4 linked regions of the Saccharomyces cerevisiae S288C genome follow. The protein of the gene in region 2 purifies or fractionates together with the protein of the main gene of each other region. This does not show direct contact. Each region holds a gene or a part of one and is shown on either strand. Other genes may lie near its edges. The genes, in order: SIT1, SIP3, CRH1 and ENB1.

Region 1 (5,421 bases), on a different chromosome or scaffold from region 2:
GATGGTAATGTACATTTTTGGCTCAGGCGAAATGTCATAATTGTAATGGTCACTACTTTCATTTCCTTTCCGTTATCAATGAAGAGAAACATAGAGGCACTATCAAAGGCATCTTTCTTGGCCGTTATAAGTATGATTATAATTGTACTGACAGTGGTAATTAGAGGACCTATGCTGCCCTATGATTGGAAAGGTCATTCTCTGAAGTTATCTGATTTTTTCATGAAAGCTACTATATTCAGAAGTCTCTCTGTCATTTCCTTTGCGTTGGTTTGTCATCATAATACTAGTTTTATTTTCTTTTCCATGAGGAATAGAAGTGTGGCAAAATTTACCAGGTTAACGCATATCAGTATCATTATCTCAGTAATATGCTGTGCACTAATGGGATATTCGGGATTTGCAGTTTTCAAAGAAAAAACAAAAGGCAATGTTTTAAACAGTTTCCCAGGAACAGACACTGCTATCAACATAGCCAGACTCTGTTTCGGATTTAACATGCTAACCACATTCCCCATGGAAATTTTTGTTTTGAGAGATGTTGTCGGTAACTTGTTACATGAATGCAACCTTATTAAAAATTATGACGAACACACTCAATTATCAGGTAAACAGCACGTCGTTATAACTTCTTCACTAGTCTTCATCACCATGGGTATATCATTAACTACATGTAATTTAGGAGCATTATTTGAACTGATTGGGGCCACTACGGCATCGACTATGGCTTACATTTTGCCGCCATACACAAATTTGTTGTTAACTAGTAAGAAGAAGAGTTGGAAGGAAAGGCTTCCTTTCTATCTTTGTATATGCTTTGGTTTCATGATTATGATAATCAGCAGCACCCAAACTATTATTGATGCAGTTAATGGTTCTGATGGACAGCACTGCCAAATATAGGGTATTTTTTCTTTCTGCTGGGTTTTAAAAAACTAGTTTAGTTACCTCATTGGAACTCAAATATTTATCCACTTTGGATAGTATATACGTCAAATTCTTTTGGTATTTTATCGCCGAGAAGTCGGTAGAGCCAGCATCAGATGCAAAGCCATGCAAAGACTGATATAAAGACTGTTATACCAAATGTTATGATATGTTCTTGACTATGTAGTAGCTATATGTGCATGTATGAAATTATTTGGGTGAGATAATATTAATCTTTCCTATCTTTACTGCTTGTAAAGTGCGTAAAGAATTTATTTTTCAAAAAACTTTCTTCCTTTTCCTCAATTTCAAAGGTGTTTTTACTTTCCAAATGATCATTGCCTTCAAGAGCAATAGAATCTGTTAGTTTATGATTTCTCAACATGAATGCGCAACCTAACAAAGGAAAGCAGAATACCAAACCTATGATACATAAAATCTTTTGAACATAGCGGTAAGACATGACTAAAGCTATTCTTTCTGGTGTTCCCCAGGTATAAGTTGTAATGAATGTAAATGGAGAACCGTACGCTTGTGCAGCTAAGGTTGGATCGGAAATTCTTTTTGAAATTTCTTTGGGTAGGATATTAGTCCAGACAGCTCCGCTAACAGAACTACCAAATGCAGAACCAATATTATAAGTGGCAAGGTATAATGAGGTTACTACCGCCATTCTTGCATGAGTTTTAGCGGATGCTTGGATGGAAGCTTGAGTCACATAGGTAAATGAACCTGCACCGAAACCTAATAGACACAAAGAGCCAATGATACCGGAATGAGCACCGGAGTCACCACGGTAATGGACCAGCAAACCAAATGAGACGATCCAACAAGAAATGCCAAATATAATAAAAGGCTTAGTCCTTCTAACTTTAATCAGTATGAACCCGAGGATTGTACCAACGATAACAGAAACAAATGAATACAAGGAGGTAATTCTTGTAGCGGACTTTATGGATTCATGAACTGCAACGACTAGTACAGTATACATGTAATCACCTTGCATATACCAGTTAAAATTGATAAAGAATGCGATGAGTAGAGCGAAAAAGATACCTCTATCTTGAATCAAGTCCCAAGGTGTCAATGGATGTCTCGAGTACTTTATTTCCCATAGCATGTACAGTGGTAACACTACAACCCAACCAATGACTTCAGGGACAATAATATGCGCAGTTTTCCATTCCTCTTTCAAACCACCCGCTAAGGTGAATGGAACCAATACACACCCGAAAAATACAGTAATTAATAACATTCCAATGATATCCAATTTCCAAAATGCGATGTCTATACAAAAGGACTTCCACTTCAATTTGTTTAGCGCTTCGAACTCGGGCTTCAATCTATCTTTAGCATGCTTTCTTGCTAAATACCTCATGTGCAACATACAAATTCCAAGCGGAATACAAGCTAGCGGCAGTATAAAAGCCCACATACCAATACCCCATTTCCAATTAGCATCTATGGCACTTGTTACGTTCCCGCTAATCCAGGTGTTGATGATAAATGGTAAAGCTGGAATGAATAAGGCTAACAACCTCCAGTTCAAGTTGGAAAAGTCAGAAGCAATAACTTCCAAAATTAGAATAATACCGGTAAGACCCAATTGGTAAAAACAACCACCAACTGCAAATCTTGTAATATTCACCGCTTGCGACTCAATGATGGTCCCCATGCTATAAAAAATGATACTGACAATCATAATGGAAAATCTGCCGAAGATATCTGATAATCTGGCAAAGAAGATCTGGCCTACAGCCGCAATAACCGTCTTAATACAGTTGACGGTCGATAGCAGCGAGTGCTGGGAGTACGACGAAGTCGCGTACGCCTGGAAAGTGTAACGGATATTACCATCTAATCCGTAAGCATAGGCAATGAGGAAAAGTGAGAAGAATAATGCGACACGGTAGATCGGGCGGTTGTACATTTCTGCGTAAATCTCGATGTTATGCACACCTGGATCTATCAATTCAATGTAAGAAGGTGCTGGAGAAGATGTGGTTAGCGTTGGCTTGACATCGACCTTGGCTCCTACTTCCTTTTCCAGCATCTCGGGAACGACAACCTCTTCAAATTCCTCGGGGAGGGTATGATTAGCAATACCAGGGTCCATTATGGAAAAATTTTCGTACTGGGTCTTTAACAGTTCTTTTACAAAGCACTACGATGTTCTAGCCTCATCGGTGATGGACGGTGTCCATTGCTTATATAGTATCTGCAAATCATCGCATCACAAAAGTAAATTAAAGGATCACGGATGAGCACTACTAATTATGGCAAAAGACGAACCAGATTGCACCCTCAAATGTGTTCTTTACGGCACATTGTAAACGATGAACTTCGGGGTCTTCCCAGCAGATAAGTTTCTTAAAATGCACCTGGATTAAGCTGCAAGTCATTCTGTGCCTGCGCCGTACGGCGCTTGCGATTAAATCGGAGAACAAACTATGAAAAGCCAATAAGAAACTATTTCACTGGGAAAAAGTGGGAAAAAAGCTTCGCAAGTGAGCCTATAGAAGCTAGAGTTATCTCTATACACAGTAGTCTACATTACACAGCGGTTTCAGTATCCGTTTCTCTTGTAAAGAACCTTATCTGTCTTGTAAGCCACTTTGGTGTACAGCAACTGTGCGCGGTGATTGTAATGGTCTGTAACCCAGTACACTGCAGGCGTACCGAGCTCATCGGCACGGCTGTATACAAATTCTATGAGCTTTCTACCTACGCCTTTGACTCTTGCGCGTTCAGTGACATATAAGTCATTCATGTAGACAACTTCTTCGACATGCCACGACGTCAAATGGTTCAGGTAGTGTGCAAAGCCAATTGCATCGCCGGTCTCGGTGTCAAAGGCTAGAGCACCCCATAGTTTGACCGTAGGGTCTATAAACCTTGCGAAGGTAGTGGTGGCTACTTCCGGAGGCATAACCGTTTTTTGGAAACCCTGATACTCCTTCCACAGTTTGTTCCAGGCTTCCTCATCTTTTGGCTCGATGGCCTTCACCACAATTCGATCGTTAACCATTTTTTCCGGTTCTTCGTTTGACATGCCTACGTTCTTCGTGCTTGCAAAAGGTGGAGATGGGTCTGGGGTCTTTTTCATTAGTCTGCACTCATCTATTTTATATGCCCGTTTTCCGCTTTTAAATATCTTGTCGCAACACTCTCCAGTATACTGTTCGCGAAGGTTTCCGCCTGATAACGATTTAATAACCGGATTGGGAAATATACGATGCGGTCAATTGGTGAAAAAGGCCTTACGCAGAGTATGCAATGTACCGCCTGATCATCAGCTGATCGCTTCAGTGCGATCGATTGGATATGCTAGAGTAGCATTCGTGTTTTGTACGTGTACGTCTGAATGTCGGGATAATTTGCAGAGTGTGACAAGAACTTCAGGCCATCAAACAACAATTAGTCAACCATGCACAGATATACAGTCAACACGGAAGTGCTCGACCATTTTTGTCTCTGCTGTTATGCAAACGGGAACTATAACTTTCTTCTGGACGTTCCATTTCCCCATCCCCTTACAACGCATAGTAAACCAAAAGCAGCCACCGCCTCAATCCTACGTTTAATACAAAAGTGAAGAACTACAATGGTTTAATTCTACTAGACGGCATGCTAACCTGAAAAACTCAAGCATTTTTATCTTTTCAGTCGGTCGTAGCTCTCCAACGGTTGTTTTTTCACAGTATATACTTTTTCATATTATCAGGCGAAAGATACGAGAAAGCCAAAATCAGGCACATTGAAAGGATAAAGCCAAAATCAGGTATACTGAAAGGATGAAAATTTTGGCACTAGCCGTCGCCTTTCAAGGCTTGGCATTGGTATGCTGTACGGATACAACAGACAATTATAACAATTTTACGCATAATACATCGACATTTTACCGCATAGCGGATTATGATAAGAGATTTTGGAGCGTAAAACTACCACCAGTGAATTGGACTACTTGCGGTAATGAAGATCATCCATGGATTACTATCCACTACGACGAGATTGATAAACTCGTTGACGATAAACTGGCAAGTTGGGACAAAGGACCTGTTCCCGATCGTGAAGAATTTAGGAACTCCATCCTTAGACAAGCGAGATGCGACCGCCCACATTACTAGCCATCAATTCTTAATCATTGTAAGCAAGAACTGTCCACTCTAACATTTAGTAGGCTCTCAAACATATGTTAACATAGCACCACTAATTGCACTTCTGATTTAATTGAAGAAAACGGCGTTAAGTGTTTCAAAAATATCAGGTCAGTTAAGAGAAAAAAAAGAAAAATGGGCCGGCAGTCCTTATTTATTTACTTCCAATTTGAATAACTATATAATTTTAATTAGATCAATTCTCTCCCTTTTTTTTTCAAGTTACAGTACTGAAGTGGTGGAAAGGACTTCTGGGTGTGAGTCCTGCAAATGTCATAATACTGTTACAATTTGCTCTTAATTATACTCCAAGAGATTTAAAGCGCAAGATGAAAAT
Region 2 (7,145 bases):
GTAGCAGTTTTCTAGTTCTAGTATGTTCAAATTAGTTTTAACTTCTTTTATGAGATTTAAAAACGTCTTCAAATTATCTAGGATGTTCAGTTCGTTGGCTAGAATTGCCTCGCGTTGTAGTAGGTCACTAGAATCAAGTTCTAACTCACTGCCATTGGACCTTTTGCTGTCATTTTTTAATATTAAAGGATCCTTCAGTAACTCGCGTATTATTTCACCTTTGTTAGGAAAAAGAGACTCCATATCCAATCGAGAGACTTCGTGATTTGTAAAAGTTATGCGAATCAAACCACTTTTTTACTGACAAATTTAACGTAATCCTTTAAGACTATGAACCATGTTATGAAACATCTCTTAGTTCAACATGTCGCCTAATTGTATATCGCTATTGACGAAAGAGAAGTATCTTTCATGAGGTCAATAATAACGTTCAATGGTTAATGAGCACTATAATCATAAACAAATAATGACTTTGATAATTATATAATAGTTATATTCGCTCAAGTTATTGGTGGTCTTAACTTCTCGAGTTCTTCGTTACAAATAGAACAGTAATTTTGCAATTGAGTGTCATTAAACCAAAGATCAGTCATCTCTATAGACACCATCGAGCATTTATTTACTTCTTCCAGCAAGAATTTTTCGTAGTCGTCATGCACTAATTGTTTCTCCATGTCTTGGAGTATTCTAAGTTCAATTAGCAATTCATTTCTCCTCATAGCCAACTGTTTTCTCGTTTCGCTATACTGATAGTCCTTATTGAAATTGTCCTCGCTGAACTTCTCAAAAATGGGGTTATTTGACGGCACTGACAGTTGACTACTTAGCAAGTCCGAATCACTTATGTAAATGGCTCTTTGCATTGTGAACTTATCTGATCCAAGACGGTCGTGGAACAGTTTTTCAGCTCTCTTTATTGACCAGTAGGGCACTGATGCTTTTTCTGATAAAAGTATGTTTATCATAATAGATGCTAATAATCCGACCACCATCATTCGATTAATCCGTGAGAACTTTTCAGCACATAATAATAGAATACCGATAAGTATTCTGAAGAATACAAACGTCAAATTCGTTACTCTGTAAACCATTAGTTTGATAAACACTAGGAAAAGGATAGTACAAGAATACCTGATGTCATATTGCATACTTTCACTCTCTTTGGAGTTGCCATTTTTTTCAGTAGCAGGTTCTTCACTTTTGTTGCTGAGAACACCTAATATACCACATAGTTTGATAGCTTTGATAACTTTTCCGTGTTTGCCAATCTTTTCCAAGTAGTACCGTAACACCCTTCTTATCAGTAGGAATTCACTATGAGCAAATTTCAAGGCCCATGTTTGGCATATTATTTCAGCCAAAGATAGCTTTTCTATTGTTTTGCCAGTTCTACTATCAATATATTCTAGTTTGTATAGGACATGAAGCGATGAACTGCTCGCCGTCATATTCAACTTTATTTCAAGATGGTTATCTACATCATATGACTCAGTTATGACAAATTTAATTGAAAGCTTCAATAAATGACAAAATGGCACTTTAACGAAAAAAGGATCTAAATCGACTTCATAATATTTGTTATCAACAATTTTGACTATCCTCTGTGTAGCAAAAATCATTTTAGATTCCTTATCTCTATGATATTTACCAGTATTTAAAAAATTACCGGTCATATCCAATCGAAATGGTATCTTTCGAACTAATTGTGATTTCCCGTTGATGTCTTTGTTTTTATACCAAAAACGTTTCCCGTGTTCTTCCCCATCTTTTCTTGCTAAAAACAGGCATTTTGGAAAAGCATTCGATTTATCTCCAAATAGTATGTGGGCTAGTCCTTTACTAGATATTTCATATTCATGATTGTAAGTAATCGAGTACTCTGTCTGAAGTTTTTTGAGTCTGTTTAATAAAGTAGATGCATCATCGGACATCTCCCAAAATGTCACACGTGATTTGATGATTTTGGATACGCTGGTGGCCTTACGATCAAAGGAGTTTTCTTGTTCTATCTTATATAATTCTTCTTGTTTTTTTTCTTGAGATTCTTTTTCCATCTGTTCAAACTTTACTAAAATCTCTTCGTTACTATTTGGGTTTTTTATAGCCTTGTTTTCTAACAGATATTGCAACTTAGATGCAATAAGCTTATAGTCAGAAAATAAAACGATTGCTTTCATTTGTAGACCGCTGGCATCGTAAAGTTTTAAGGTCTTCTTTGATGATCTGTCGGCTTCTACAGAAACGATTTCAGACAAGCTGATCTTTGTAAGACAGATAAATTCCATAGAATTCATGTAGCAATAAATGTAGTCTTTTGTGCAAAAGCAGGTAGCTGAGAACTTCTGCTTTTTGTTAGGACACCACAATGCTTCAAACTTGAAAAGTAAAAGCTCTTCCGGTAGCTTCTCCAACCTTTGGTCCGGAGAAAATACTAATGACTTGAACTGTAGATCAAGCACTTTCAACTCATTAGAATAATATTGAGGATATATAGTGGAGTTTCTTATTGGAAGCCTTTTGCCATCGATCGTTAATAAAGAGGAGGGTTTCTTTCCCTTTCCTGGCAATATAGTATATTCACTCCAATCGGTCGTGCCCCATATATTCGCAAGAACAGCATTAGGGAACCAGCTACCTTTTGTGAGGAAATTAGACAGAATAGCCAGTTGTGTCATTTTTGTAGATATTGGTGTTGTTGGCATTTGGAACTGAAACACCTTCTCCTCTCCTAAAGTCAAAATATCATATTCAGAGATTGAGCAGTTCAGCGTTTCATACAAGGACTCGGTTTCTTTGTCAAATGTTGTGATTAATTGATCTATGGAGGTGGTTGTACTAGAGGCAAATTCAAAAAACTTGGGAGAAAATCTTTTAAACGCCAGCTCATATTCAAGACTATCATGTTGTATACTCATGACATACTTTTTTGTCGCTTCAAAAGCTATTAACCATGATTTCAAATCTAGATAATTTGAAGTTTGAAAGACCAACGTGATATCCTTTGACATGTTATCATGTGCCTCTGTTACTTTATTACCAAATATTTTTACTTCAAAACAAAATTTTCGATCTTCCTCTGGGTCATAGCGCACATTAGTAAGGAAGACACCAAACTTATCAGTTTCCTCCACGTAGGTCTTCGATGGCGACAAAAGGAACATACCAAAAACTGCATTTTTCAGAAAGCACCATCTTCTCACCCATATTTCCCTGGTAGGCTTTCCAACCTGTGTTTTCATATAAAGCCACCCAGACTTTTCGGGCGATTTTGGAGGCACTTGCGTATCCTTTGATAGCAGCTTCGAGGAATGTATTGATCTTATATTGTAATCACTTGTGTCACTTGACGGCGTAATTCGTTTCAAGGTATACCTATATGCTTGCTTTTTTGCATTACTGATATCAGAATCCAATACTTTCGATCCTTCGATGGAATTTTCTACCCATATTGCGTAATTGTCTAAATACTCATTAATGCAAGGAGATAAATCTATTTTCCTTCCAGAATCTTTCGTTATAAAAATGCTTCTTGACTTTAATACTTTCATTGACTCTAGTATGAATTTATCTAAGCTTAATTTTACTGCTGATATGGCACTTATGAGGTCTAGGGAGGCCTTAAGGTAGTTTTTTTGCACTTCAAATAATTGTAAGGCATCACTTTTGATAGAAGATGGCTCTAAACTGGTTTTTGAAATTCTTATAGCCTGGTAGGATGCCAGCATACTGTCATATTTACCTTGGTAAAAATCGAAATTTTTTCTCACGTTTCTGTAGGGTTCAATTGCAGTAGTCATAAGTTCTAATAGCGCGGTTGAGTGGCTAGAGTCATCACCCTTTACAATTTGCAGTAATTTCATAGAAAAGTCATAATAGTCCTTGTTAAAACTATCAATCAGCCTGGGAGTAAACGATTGGTTACTGACAAAACCGTTGCTCAGCAAGGCTGGAGGAGGTAACAATTGGGATAGGAGAGTTTCCTTTGCTCTTCGAAAATCTTCAAATGACACCTTATATTTCTGATCGAAAAAGTCGACAGTCTTCTCTATCCAATCCTCTAATGCATCCACCCTTGTTTGGAAGAAATTTACGGATGCACGAAAGGAAGGAGAGTCAATTGATGCTTCTTTGAATGCAACCGATATTAGCCTTAACTGCCTCTTTTTGGGATCCCTCCCGTGAACGGACATATTTCAAGTAATGATATATCTCTGCAATATGTCAATTGATCAACAGGTCTACTCATGCAGCTATGTTTTAGTTACACCTAGTAGTTTAAAATTTCACGTGTACTTTCCCTGTTTTGAACGCATTAGCAATAGCGCTGGTGTCGTTGCGCAAATTCATAATAAAAGGAAAATTTGAAAAACTTATGATAAATTGCAAGGTCATCGAAAACAGAAGAACAAGGTTTTTTCCTTTAGTAAATGCAAAATTAGTAAAAGTGATAGCGTCTTCTTTGATTAACAAGTTTCAATCTTTGCCTTTGGCTATGTCAAAGCTATTTTCTACTGTCAATTCTGCAAGACATAGTGTACCACTAGGCGGCATGAGAGATTATGTGCACATTAAGAAACTAGAGATGAATACAGTTCTTGGGCCTGATTCCTGGAATCAATTAATGCCTCAGAAATGTCTACTAAGCTTAGATATGGGTACAGATTTTAGTAAATCTGCGGCTACGGATGATTTGAAATATTCTCTAAATTATGCAGTTATTTCTCGTGATTTGACGAATTTCGTCAGCAAAAAAAAGAATTGGGGTTCTGTTTCTAATTTGGCTAAATCTGTGTCTCAATTTGTTATGGACAAATATTCTGGTGTCGAGTGTCTGAATTTAGAAGTGCAGGCGGATACAACGCATATTAGAAGTGACCACATATCTTGTATTATTCAACAAGAAAGAGGGAATCCAGAATCACAGGAATTTGACGTTGTTAGGATATCTGAGTTAAAAATGTTGACTTTGATTGGTGTTTTCACCTTTGAGAGACTTAAGAAACAGTATGTAACTTTGGATATAAAGTTGCCTTGGCCAAAGAAAGCCGAATTGCCACCGCCAGTGCAAAGCATAATTGATAACGTTGTCAAGTTTGTGGAGGAATCAAATTTCAAGACTGTGGAAGCTCTTGTAGAATCTGTGTCAGCTGTTATTGCCCATAACGAGTATTTTCAAAAGTTTCCAGATTCGCCTTTGGTGGTGAAGGTTTTGAAATTAAACGCAATCACAGCCACAGAAGGTGTTGGTGTAAGCTGTATTAGAGAGCCCAGGGAGATTGCGATGGTAAATATTCCATATCTTTCCTCCATACATGAATCGTCTGATATTAAGTTCCAATTGTCTTCATCACAAAACACTCCTATTGAGGGTAAAAATACATGGAAAAGAGCGTTTTTAGCGTTTGGTTCAAACATTGGGGACCGTTTCAAACACATTCAAATGGCGTTGCAATTATTATCAAGGGAAAAAACGGTTAAATTACGGAATATTTCGTCTATTTTTGAAAGTGAACCAATGTATTTCAAAGATCAAACCCCTTTCATGAATGGGTGTGTTGAGGTGGAGACATTACTGACCCCAAGCGAATTATTAAAATTGTGTAAAAAAATTGAATATGAAGAGTTGCAAAGAGTCAAGCATTTTGATAATGGTCCGAGAACAATAGATCTGGATATTGTTATGTTTTTGAATAGCGCCGGAGAAGATATTATAGTAAATGAACCGGATTTGAATATACCGCATCCTAGAATGCTGGAGAGGACTTTCGTTCTTGAGCCGTTATGTGAATTAATATCCCCCGTTCACCTTCATCCTGTGACAGCGGAACCCATTGTAGACCATTTAAAACAGTTATACGACAAACAGCATGATGAAGATACCTTATGGAAATTAGTTCCATTGCCTTATCGTAGTGGTGTGGAGCCTAGATTTTTGAAATTCAAGACCGCTACAAAACTTGACGAATTTACTGGAGAAACAAACAGAATTACTGTTTCACCTACATATATCATGGCTATCTTCAACGCTACACCAGATTCATTTTCCGATGGAGGTGAGCATTTTGCGGACATTGAAAGTCAATTGAATGATATCATTAAATTGTGTAAAGACGCATTATATTTGCATGAGAGCGTCATCATCGACGTTGGAGGGTGTTCTACCAGGCCTAACTCTATTCAGGCGTCTGAGGAAGAAGAAATACGCAGGTCTATCCCATTAATTAAGGCCATTAGAGAAAGCACTGAGTTACCGCAAGATAAAGTCATACTATCCATTGATACTTATCGTTCCAATGTCGCTAAAGAAGCGATTAAAGTTGGAGTGGATATTATTAATGATATTTCGGGAGGTTTATTTGACAGCAACATGTTTGCCGTAATTGCAGAGAACCCAGAAATTTGTTATATTTTATCACACACACGTGGTGATATTTCAACGATGAATAGGCTGGCGCATTACGAAAATTTTGCATTGGGTGATTCTATTCAGCAAGAATTTGTTCATAATACCGACATTCAGCAGCTAGACGACTTGAAAGACAAAACAGTGTTAATCAGGAATGTTGGTCAAGAAATTGGCGAAAGGTATATCAAAGCGATTGATAATGGAGTAAAGCGCTGGCAAATTCTAATCGACCCTGGACTTGGTTTTGCTAAGACCTGGAAGCAAAACTTACAAATTATTAGACATATCCCCATTTTAAAGAACTACTCATTCACCATGAACTCAAACAATTCGCAAGTGTATGTTAACCTCAGAAATATGCCCGTTTTATTGGGTCCATCGCGCAAAAAATTCATTGGACATATCACAAAAGATGTGGATGCGAAGCAAAGAGACTTTGCTACTGGAGCGGTGGTAGCGTCGTGTATTGGTTTCGGCAGCGACATGGTTAGGGTCCATGACGTTAAAAATTGTTCGAAGAGCATTAAATTAGCAGATGCTATTTATAAAGGTTTGGAATAAAGGTTAGTTATATAGATTAAATATGTAATTCTGTTTTGTAATAATTTTTTTTCCTGTTTCATAATAAAGAATCGTTAAAAATAACCAAGGGAGGAAACAAGTGAAATGAAGTATAGAAAAGATATAGAAAATAAACTTAAATATTCAGTTTACTTGTGCTTCTTTTTTCCCCTCTATG
Region 3 (4,703 bases), on a different chromosome or scaffold from region 2:
GTCAAACGTTAAACACACTCCTAAAATAAAAACCAGCTATTGAGCATTAATTAGTAGAGAATTCATTAAGACATTACCTTGAACTATTTTAAAAGTTGGCACAAGTTATGGAGTCGGTAGAATAAAACTCAACTGTCATCAGATTCAATGGAAACTGAACCATGAGAATTGGGGGGATAAAAGGATTAATGAGAGGTGACGTATAAAATCAAGATAAGAAACCATTACATAAAACGTTCAATTGCCTTTCTACTTGCATGTTTTCAATACCTCAAAAGGAGAATGTTTTGATATATGTTATATATCATTATTGTCTTCGCTAAGAACGAAATCTAACAATTCTATTTTGTAATTTACCTATTCAGCATATAATTGTTACAGAATTGGATTTTTATGTTCCTTGAGATAGCTTTCGATATTTTCTTCGTACAGCGTCGATGTCTCTAGTTTTTATCCAACCGCACTTTATATTTTAACGTTTGATGGTTTTCTATCTTGGCAGCGTTAGAACTTGATGACAATTTATGGAACTTAGTTTCCTATTAGAAAGGGTAACTGTGGCATAAATGTAATAGAAGTTTTCTTCGAGAATTATAAACTGTTAGAATAAGGACTACAACTATCATCTATTGTTGGAATGAAACTCTAAATTATCTTTTATTTAGTAGTATTCGTTTTACTAATATATTATCATATACGGTGTTAGATGATGGCATAAGTTATGAGAAGCGGTCATTGAAGTTAGAGGAAGCTGAAATGCGAGGATTGATAATGTAATAATGAAACATATAAAACGGAATGAGGAATAATCGTAATATTAGTATGTAGAAATATAGATTCCATTTTGAGGATTCCTAGATCCTCGAGGAGAACTTCTAGTATATTCTGTATACCTAATATTATAGCCTTTATCAAACAATGGAATCCCAACAATTATCTCGAAATTCACCCATCTCTCAGAATTATTCACCCAAATCTCAGAAGACTAAAAAAGAAAGAAATGTGGATAATCGAGTCTATAGATTCTTAATTACATATTAAACCTGAGAGGTCAGATTTCCAATAATAGAATAGCCTTGTTGGCGCAATCGGTAGCGCGTATGACTCTTAATCATAAGGTTAGGGGTTCGAGCCCCCTACAGGGCTTTCTTTTTTTCTTTAAAACACGATGACATAAATTTCCTTTGTATGAACCGTACCCTTAATAATAAAAGGAAAAATCATGCTTTAGGTATAAGACTTTCTGTTGTATTAAAATTTAGTATTTATTTTTATTATGCTATTATTTTTTTCGGTCTCAAATGTTACTTAGTGATCTACGAATATTGTTCTAAAAGAAATTTTCCACTTATAGCAAGGCTAGTAAAGCTACGAGTACGGAAAAAAGTTTTCCCTCTCTTGGTAAACTCTGAGCTAAATCAGCACCGTTAGAAATTTGAACAGAGTTTGTCGAGCTGGCTTCGGAGGAAGAACTTTGGATTGTAGATGTGTATTTGCTTGATATCTGGGTAGTAGAACTGGTCACGTCATTACTTGATGTTGCGACACCACCCTTATCTTGTACAGGACTGTCCGATGATACGGAAGATTGTTGAGTAGTTGGGGCAACTGTAGACCTAGTGGTAGAGGAAACAGTGGCTGGGGTCTTAGTGGAGGAAATAATGGACTCACTTGTAGAAGAGGAAGCCACTGTTTTCTTGGATGAAGAGGAGGATTGCTTTTCGAATGAACTAATGGAACTAGATGTGGTGACTGATGAGGAAGCAAGTGTTTTAGATGAAGTAGCGGTCGAAGAAGATGGAGATGTGGATGAAGAGGAAGATACAGAAGACGAAGAAGATACAGTGGAAGAAACCGAGGAAGACACAGTGGAAGAAGCCGAGGAGGACACAGTGGAAGAAACCGAGGAAGATACAGTGGAAGACGCCGAGGAAGATACAGTAGAAGAGGATGTAGAGCTGCTGGAAATACTACCACCGTTGGCTAAAACTGCGAAATCTTCTTGGGCTTGGTCATACCTGCCGTAAATAGAACCACCGTCAGCTTCAATAGATTCCCAAGAACCAGATTGGTCACCATATGTGTACTTTTTACCGGTAGAATAATCAGTTACAATGACCTTTTCAATGTACATAGTGAATGGAGCGTCATTGTAGTTGGTTTCACCACCAGCCCATTCAATGGTACCAGCAGCATTGTCTGGGTCACCACCGGCCCAGATACCCATCATTAGGTACATAGGAGATTGTGGGTAACCCTCACTTGATGTGTTTGATAATACTCTGACAGACTCTCCATCGAGGTACCAAGTCGTCTTGTCCATCGCCCAATCTAAAGTGTAGTTATGAAATTTGTCGGTAGGAGTGTCGACACCGTGAAATTCGCCTCTGTCGTATGTTGTGGTATCACCTTTAGAAAAGAAGTTAGATTGGAACTGAGTGTTGTCACCACCCACCCATTCAATATCAATTTCATCCAAATCATCACTTTGTAAATAGAATGATGAAACAATACCGGTACCATTGGCAGCTTTTAAGATAACTTCCAATTTACCATACATGATATAAAAGTTAGACTTCAAACTTGGATTATCGTATCTTTTCGCCAGTGTCATTGACAAACCGTCTGAACCGTACTTGATTTCACCTGCGTGCTTCAAGTCGGTAAACCATTTGGATGAAGATGAGAAATCTTCGCTAAAACTAGTTGCCAAAGCTGTATCCGGCGTACAACCTGTAGTTTTTAACGGGTTACACGAAGCAGTGCTAGAAGCTGCAGTTGTACTGTCTGCAGTAGCAGTACTTTCGGCAGCCGCGAATGTAGATAATAATGAAGAGGCACTGAGTACCGTTAGTAGGTCAAGCACTTTCATGGTTTTTTGCTGTATTGAATTATTATGAATATTATATTATCTTAACCTTTCTCTTGCTATTTAGTAGAAATGTAGAATATGGAGAGGAGTAGGCAATTATTGAAAGTTCCAAAAGTGTTTCACCTTTTGTTCTTTTTCATGTTACTAACCAGCAAGTATTTATATAACATCCATTGTTGCATGAGGGAAACCAGTAACCATACGCTCTAATTATATCACATTCCCGATTCGGAAACATTGCTTCTTGATCGAGCGAAAAGAAACTGCCCTTGCAATTAATAATGTCATTTTCGTATCCCATACCACGAAAAGCAAGCCCTCAGAGGTTCTAATGCATTATAGCTCAGATCTATTTTTACTTTCCTGGAAAACGCCATCGAAATAGTCGCCAAAAAAATCGATGGGCTGGGAAAACGCGTCATCAATTCAACCGAATAAGGAAAACTAAGCCACTTCACGCGGTTCGCGATATTTGTCCAGCCTCTTTTTCCGAAAAAAAAAAAATTAAATAATAAAATGAAACGGACAGGAATTGAACCTGCAACCCTTCGATTGCAATCTTATTCCGTGGAATTTCCAAGATTTAATTGGAGTCGAAAGCTCTACCATTGAGCCACCGCTTCATCTTGAAATATCGAAGATATAACATTTTACTTGTCTGCCGAAATTCTGTGTTTGCTATAATGTTTGAATTAGAATCTCTTAAAATAGCTACTCATACTTCTTCATAACTAATCCATTAGTGACCATATGAAGTAATCGGACGCCACACATCATTGATGTTTCACGATGGAGAATGATAACACACTAAGTGGCATTGTGGGCAAAGTAAGTTAAACACCTATTGCTCAAATGATCAACTTGGTGTTTGCACATATACGGATGTAAGTCATGACATTGAAATCATAATATGCTTTCATGATAATCATATGAGCATGTTTAATATTACTAATAAGGCTGTATTCTATACTTCTCTTATATAGAATAAGAAGATCTGCATTTATTCTTGATTGACACTACAGTTCAACAATTAATTACCAACAGAATTAATTACTACCTATCGTTCACAAGCTACTACGTTATCATACACAATGTAAAAATATGACACAAAAATGGAAAACCGTCATCAGATTTAATGGGGCTGAAACACAAGAATTCATAATGTGATAGAATAATGGGTGAAGTGTATAAAGAAGAATATATAATATTACTGTGTAGAAATATCAATTTCCCTTTGTGAGTTCTCATAACCTCGAGGAGAAGTTTTTTTACCCCTCTCCACAGATCGATACTTATCATTAAGAAAATGGGACACCAAGGTTACGGAAAAATCTACCCGGTCTACCTAATTACTCTCTTGGCGCACTAGTTTTCCGAAAAAAACAGGTAAATTCTTCTTTAGATAAAGATAAATATAAAACTTCACAGCCATTCACTCACACAAACTAGTCCCTTAGGGTGCGTATAATGATCTGTACATCTTATTTCTATATATCTTACCGTGTATTTTTTCTTTTCTCAATTCTTGTTCGCAAATAAAAAGATATTCGTGTTTGTGGAAGAACACTAGTTCCGTTTTGTATTCAACCTGGAAATTTACAATAGATCTTCATCATCGTATGTCTACCATGTTAATCTCCCGTTAAACTGTTTCACGTTATCAAGATTATGTCATCTATTCCTGGGCGAACATAATTCCTTACAAAAACATTTGTCATTACACAAGTGTAAGGGGTAATGAAAAGTAATTTTGTTACAAGTACGCAAAATTCGTTTATTTCAAGAAACACTAAGGATCGTCATTTCCCTTTCTGACCGATGTTCCTTCTTT
Region 4 (5,233 bases), on a different chromosome or scaffold from region 2:
ACTGCTTTGATAAGAATTCAAAAGTTAGTGTCCGGAAATCTATTTTTAGTAAAAGTAATAATGTTATTTGTACAGAGTATTGCAGAAGTTCTCTTTTAGAGTGTTATGAATTCATGAAATCGAATCTATAGCTTGCAATATAATCAATGCCATAATACTACTGTTGAAATAGAGAATTTGGTGAATAATTGGATAATTGTTAGGATTTTCATTATTATTGAAGGCTATAATATTAGGTATGCAGGATATGCTAGAAGTTCTCCTCAGATATATAGCAATTCATGAAGGATCGTCGATTATTCTATAGAATAGTATTATTACTTCACTTTCCATTTTATATGTTGTGATTCATTATCTTATTACATTCCTAATTCTTGAGTGTCAGCTTTCACTAAATTTCATGGCTGTTTCTCTATCTTTATGTCGCCTTCACTTATTTCTACACTCCTCAAGATTAAGTATCTAATTTTTGTAGGAAAACGACACTGCAAAGAGTGGATCAATATATAATAACATGTTTTAAATAAACGTCTACTTATGATGGAAAACATTAACTTGTGAGTTAGGATTTTTTGTATATGAGATATTTTAAAGAAAATTTAGTTCCAAAGGAGAAAATGACTTGCACAAAAATGACATGGGCAAAATACCTAATATTAAATGAGCTCTATCTACAATCCGTGCAGCTATACATACTTTCACGCTTGTTATACATTAATCAGCGAACCATTATAAGTATGGGGCCACTAATATTTCATATATTCTCTGATCTGAGACTGTTGGAGTCGATTTCTCGCACAATCAGCACTGGTTAAAATTTCGTGGGGTTACTGCTTCTTTTAAGTCGGTCAATGTTTTCTTCATTCTTTCGAACTTTGAATATTTTTTATGACGTCAATTATAAGAAGTATGAAAGTCAGGTTAGCAACAGCTAAAACTAAATAATAAAGGGCTCAAGCAGGCTTACGGCAGGTGGTGATTATATTTACACTACTAATTTTTTTTAATTCGTTTACGCTCTAGTAAAAGTTCTTCGCAACATTTTTTTTTATATTTCTTTATAAAAACTACGGGAAATGACAGGTGCGAATAATCTCATTGATTTTTGTATTGTCAAGCCCATTTAAGACTATAATATTGCTGAAATAAACGTAACAAACGTATGGATATTCACTTAGTTAGAAAAGAAAAATAAAATAAAACTAATTCGAACTTTTTGTTGTTTTTTATTTCAGACAACAATATTATACTGTTACACGCCATTATTGATTACTACTTACATTAACAGTGATTATTTCAAAGAGAATTCTAGTTCAGGAAAGAGCTTAACACTATATTTGTATCGCTAGTACTCTCCAGCTCAATATCCAATTACACGACGGAGCCATGATTGTTGTTTGATTTTGAGCTTCTCTTTCTCTCGTTCTTCTGCGGAAAGACTTTGCTTCTTGTTTACAGTAAAGCCACGCAAGAAAAAACAGAGAACAGCATTGAAAGCCGCAAACGAAATGGACACAATTATCAATAAGCGTTGAATCTTCGAATAGGATTCTATCATCTGAACACGAACCTCTGATCCAATAGGGTATTTTTTTAGATAATTGAGTGGTGATTTGTAGATTGCCATCCCTAAACTAGAGCCGAGTCGCTGTATCAACTCCTTTGCCAGACGCTGAGTCCATATAGCACCAGCGATGGAAGCACCTACTGCGTCTCCGATTTGATAAACGGACATTAGTAACCCAGTGACAGTTGCCATCTCATTGTGGGTGGTTGAAGCGTGCACTAGCGTCCACATAGGAAAACGTATCATACCACCAGCTATACCGACCACAATCTCAGCGCCAATAAGACCCGAAATCCCGTCATATACCACCCTGTATTTGTACAAAAGACCCATTCCGATGACACCAAGAAGCGACCCAGCGACTACAAAGACTTTCGGATGAGGATAGAAATGCAGCATAATGCCGACAACAATATTAGTGCATGACTGTAGAAAATTGTAAAGCTGAGCTATCCGCTGCGCACTTAATGTTGATTCTCCGAATGCTACCATTAACACGGTGACCAAATACTCTAACTCAATCTGCAAACCTAGACGCCATACAAATTCCATTAGCAATGCAACGTAGATGGTTGGATCACCTAGATATACTCGTGGGATAAATGGATTCTTAGCAAATTTTAATTCCCAAATTAGAAAGATAAAACCTAAGCAGCCACCAACCACAATCATTGCAATAATGTGACCCTCTCTCCATTTGGAGGTGGCTCCACCAGCTATTGTGAGAGGTAATAATACTAAAACTAAGAAAGCAGTGAAAAGAATGACTCCAATTAAGTTTATGTCATCCGCAAATTTCCAGAGCGTTTGACGCAGGGTCTGTCCTTTTTCTTTCAATTTTAATGGTGGTAACTTACCGCTGCGCCAGGAAATGTACTGAGCATACACATAGGGAAGGACCAATATTAGGGTGGAGATGGGCACAATGATGCAAAAAATTCCATAGCCCCAACGCCATTTATATGGTGCAACATTACCAGCAACTGAGCTAACAATATTTCCACTTACCCATGTGTTTATAATCACGGGAATCAGAAATATGTTCATCGCAAATGTACGATCTCTCAATCCAGACAGATCACCAGTCAGTGCTGTAGCAAGAAGACGAAATCCAGAATAACCGAACTGTTGTATAACAATACCTGCAAAAAGTCCGGAAAACGTTGGAGTAGCAGCAGAAATAATTTCTCCAATAGTATAGAGCACAAGCGCAAAAATCCAGCATTCTATACGTCCAAACCGATCAGATATACGTGCGTATGGCACTGCGACAACAGAGGCTACTATTGATTTGACGGTATTGATCGATCCTACTTGAGAATGCTTTCCAAAACTGTTAGCGGCATAGGTTTGTATTGATTGCGAAATCTGCCCTCCGAGTCCAGTACAGTAACCCTGCAAAAACAGAGCCACCAGTAGGGCGGTCTTGAGTGAACTAAACGTAACTCCAAAAGCTGTGAAAGAGCTGTAGTCAGACAAGACCTTGTTGACAGCGTCTATACGGCGCAAGCCAGACGTGGTAGACTTCTCAACATTGCTATCTGTCTTTTCGCTGTAGCAGACAGTGCTTTTATCGTCTAAATTGTCATTCCTAGAGTGATCAGTTTCCAGCATTTTCAGAGAGACATTCACGAGCACTTTTTTGCTATATTAGAGTTCTGCTAGGACCCAAACCATCATTTCAATTAAATAAGTCATCTCTATTATCCAAACATAGACCCTTCGCCACTCAAAAGCCACAGAGGGGTGCAATTGTAAGCCGTGGCAGCCTCTATAATAGTATACATTTGTATCACATTTGGGTGCAATAATTTAAACAGATTTTTGCAGTTGACTCAGGACTAAGGGCAATTCTTGCCCAAACTACGGAACCCTGTTTCTGATCCGAAGGGCTTATAATCCATAGAAACCCTTACATTTGCTCACTGAAAACCCTGTGTCCTTATTTGGTATATATGATGCGAGGATTAAACGAAAACGGAAAATTTTAGGTTTGAGGGTCCCATTAGTTCAACTAAAAAAGAAAAACGAAAAAAAAAAAAAACAAAGTCAAACCATAAAAAGTTTTGAACTACAGAAAATGTAGGCTTGTCTATTCTCCTGAATTTGACTTTTTTTTTTTCTAACTTTTTCACACCCCTTCATTAACTAATTAAAACTGTCGTAGAATTTCCCTTCATTTTTATTCAGCCATCCTCAGTTAGGAACGATTGATACAGCCTTCATTCGTCATTTCGTGACTTGCATGTTGGATTGGAAAATTTGCTGGCGGAGCAAAGTCAAGACGTTCAGAGGGAATAGTAAATGAGATTGTACGAACCGGTGAATATATTTTGCTGGCTAGATTTTAAATGGCCATTGTGTTATTGCTCTATCAACATAAAAGAAAGTATATGTGTTTTCAGAATCGTAAAATTTGTGACAAACTAAAAATCAGTATCTTCATAAAAGTAGTAGAGACATTTCATAGGTACGTTCCGCCCTTAGATAAATGTGGCTGCAGTTCATAATGCAGTGTGTAGTAGAGATGATTCTGTTGATCATAAACAATAATATATAATTTCACTAGTACTTGTTCTTATATGCACATAACTCGCCGTATTATCTGGCCAAATGAGCTATAGAGTAACCCTTCTCTCAGCATTATTATAATACAATACCAATGCAAGGACATATGGAAAATGCTACACAAAACTATACTTTAGTGTATTACATAACTCATACCGCACTACCAGATATATGTCGTTACTATTTAAAGTGCGGTATGTAACATAGATAAAAATAAGTATATGTATATGTATAAAAATCTTGTCGTCACAATCATCAATCATTCAGATATGTAAATTCTGCCCTCCCATGGCTTCAATGTTCTGGAAGACGCATCAACTTCGCTTCTTGGGTAGTTTCCGAATTCCAACTTAAACGACGAGCTATTGTTTGGAATCGTGAAGTCAATCGAATCAGAGCTGAAGTTCAAAGCAGCAAACAATGTTTTGTTGTCGTATTTCTTTGTGAAGCTGAACAGTTTCTTATTGTCCAAATCAATAAACTCAAAATCATATCCATATACAGTAATATCCTTGTGTGCCTTTCTAAATCTCAAGGCCTCCTTCCAGAAGTTCAAAACCGAGTTGGGATCCTTGGATTCGTCTTCAGCGTTAATTCCTTCCCTGAAAGACTCGTTCAAGTAAAACCATGGTTTAGCATTAGGACCAGAAAAACCAGCATTTGGCTCCTCACGAGACCATTGCATAGGTGTTCTAGCATGGTCTCTGGAAATAAGGGCAATTGCTTCCAAAAACCTCTTCATCTCCTTCGAGTTTTCTCCATGCTCTTCCTTGATCGCATCATAGTTATTTCTAACTTCGACATCCTCGTATTTTTCGATAGGCCAGTTCTTGAAATTGATTTCACCCAGTTCCTGTCCTTGGTACACATATAGAGTACCGCTCAGTGACACCAACAACACAGACAACAACTTACCAGAAATAACACGGTTCTTAGGAGAATCGTCACCAAATCTGGTAATTGAACGAGGTTGGTCGTGATTTTCCAGATAAATTGTTGACCAACAATCAGTTCCGTTAACGTATCTGAAAAGTTCAGCAAGGGCAACCTTCCAATCCTTTAGTTCATATGGGATCAAATTTTGACGGAACTTGGGCG

Evidence for each region.
Region 1: the proteins of SIP3 (region 2) and SIT1 purify together in Saccharomyces cerevisiae (affinity purification with mass spectrometry, with the first as the bait; one large-scale study listed by BioGRID). This does not show direct contact.
Region 3: the proteins of SIP3 (region 2) and CRH1 purify together in Saccharomyces cerevisiae (affinity purification with mass spectrometry, with the first as the bait; one large-scale study listed by BioGRID). This does not show direct contact.
Region 4: the proteins of SIP3 (region 2) and ENB1 purify together in Saccharomyces cerevisiae (affinity purification with mass spectrometry, with the first as the bait; one large-scale study listed by BioGRID). This does not show direct contact.

Annotation. Positions count from the first base shown.
Region 1 is NC_001137.3:25,279-30,699, reverse strand, and holds SIT1 (siderophore transporter), read right to left. Parts: upstream 3,044-5,421; coding exon 1,157-3,043; downstream 1-1,156. Other genes in the region: AVT2 (Avt2p), read left to right, coding at 1-903; HPA3 (D-amino-acid N-acetyltransferase), read right to left, coding at 3,494-3,979; YEL067C (uncharacterized protein), read left to right, coding at 3,924-4,511; YEL068C (uncharacterized protein), read left to right, coding at 4,722-5,054. UniProt on the Saccharomyces cerevisiae protein: Involved in the transport of siderophore ferrioxamine B and so has a role in iron homeostasis.
Region 2 is NC_001146.8:160,131-167,275, forward strand, and holds SIP3 (Sip3p), read right to left. Parts: upstream 4,191-7,145; coding exon 501-4,190; downstream 1-500. Other genes in the region: DSL1 (Dsl1p), read right to left, coding at 1-243; trifunctional dihydropteroate synthetase/dihydrohydroxymethylpterin pyrophosphokinase/dihydroneopterin aldolase FOL1, read left to right, coding at 4,493-6,967. UniProt on the Saccharomyces cerevisiae protein: May be involved in sterol transfer between intracellular membranes.
Region 3 is NC_001139.9:875,321-880,023, forward strand, and holds CRH1 (transglycosylase), read right to left. Parts: upstream 2,873-4,703; coding exon 1,349-2,872; downstream 1-1,348. UniProt on the Saccharomyces cerevisiae protein: Dual chitinase/transglycosylase that plays a role in cell wall architecture. Chitinase and transglycosylase activities are coupled. Required for the polysaccharide cross-linking at the septa and the cell wall.
Region 4 is NC_001147.6:18,131-23,363, forward strand, and holds ENB1 (Enb1p), read right to left. Parts: upstream 3,182-5,233; coding exon 1,361-3,181; downstream 1-1,360. Other genes in the region: oligo-1,6-glucosidase IMA2, read right to left, coding at 4,395-5,233.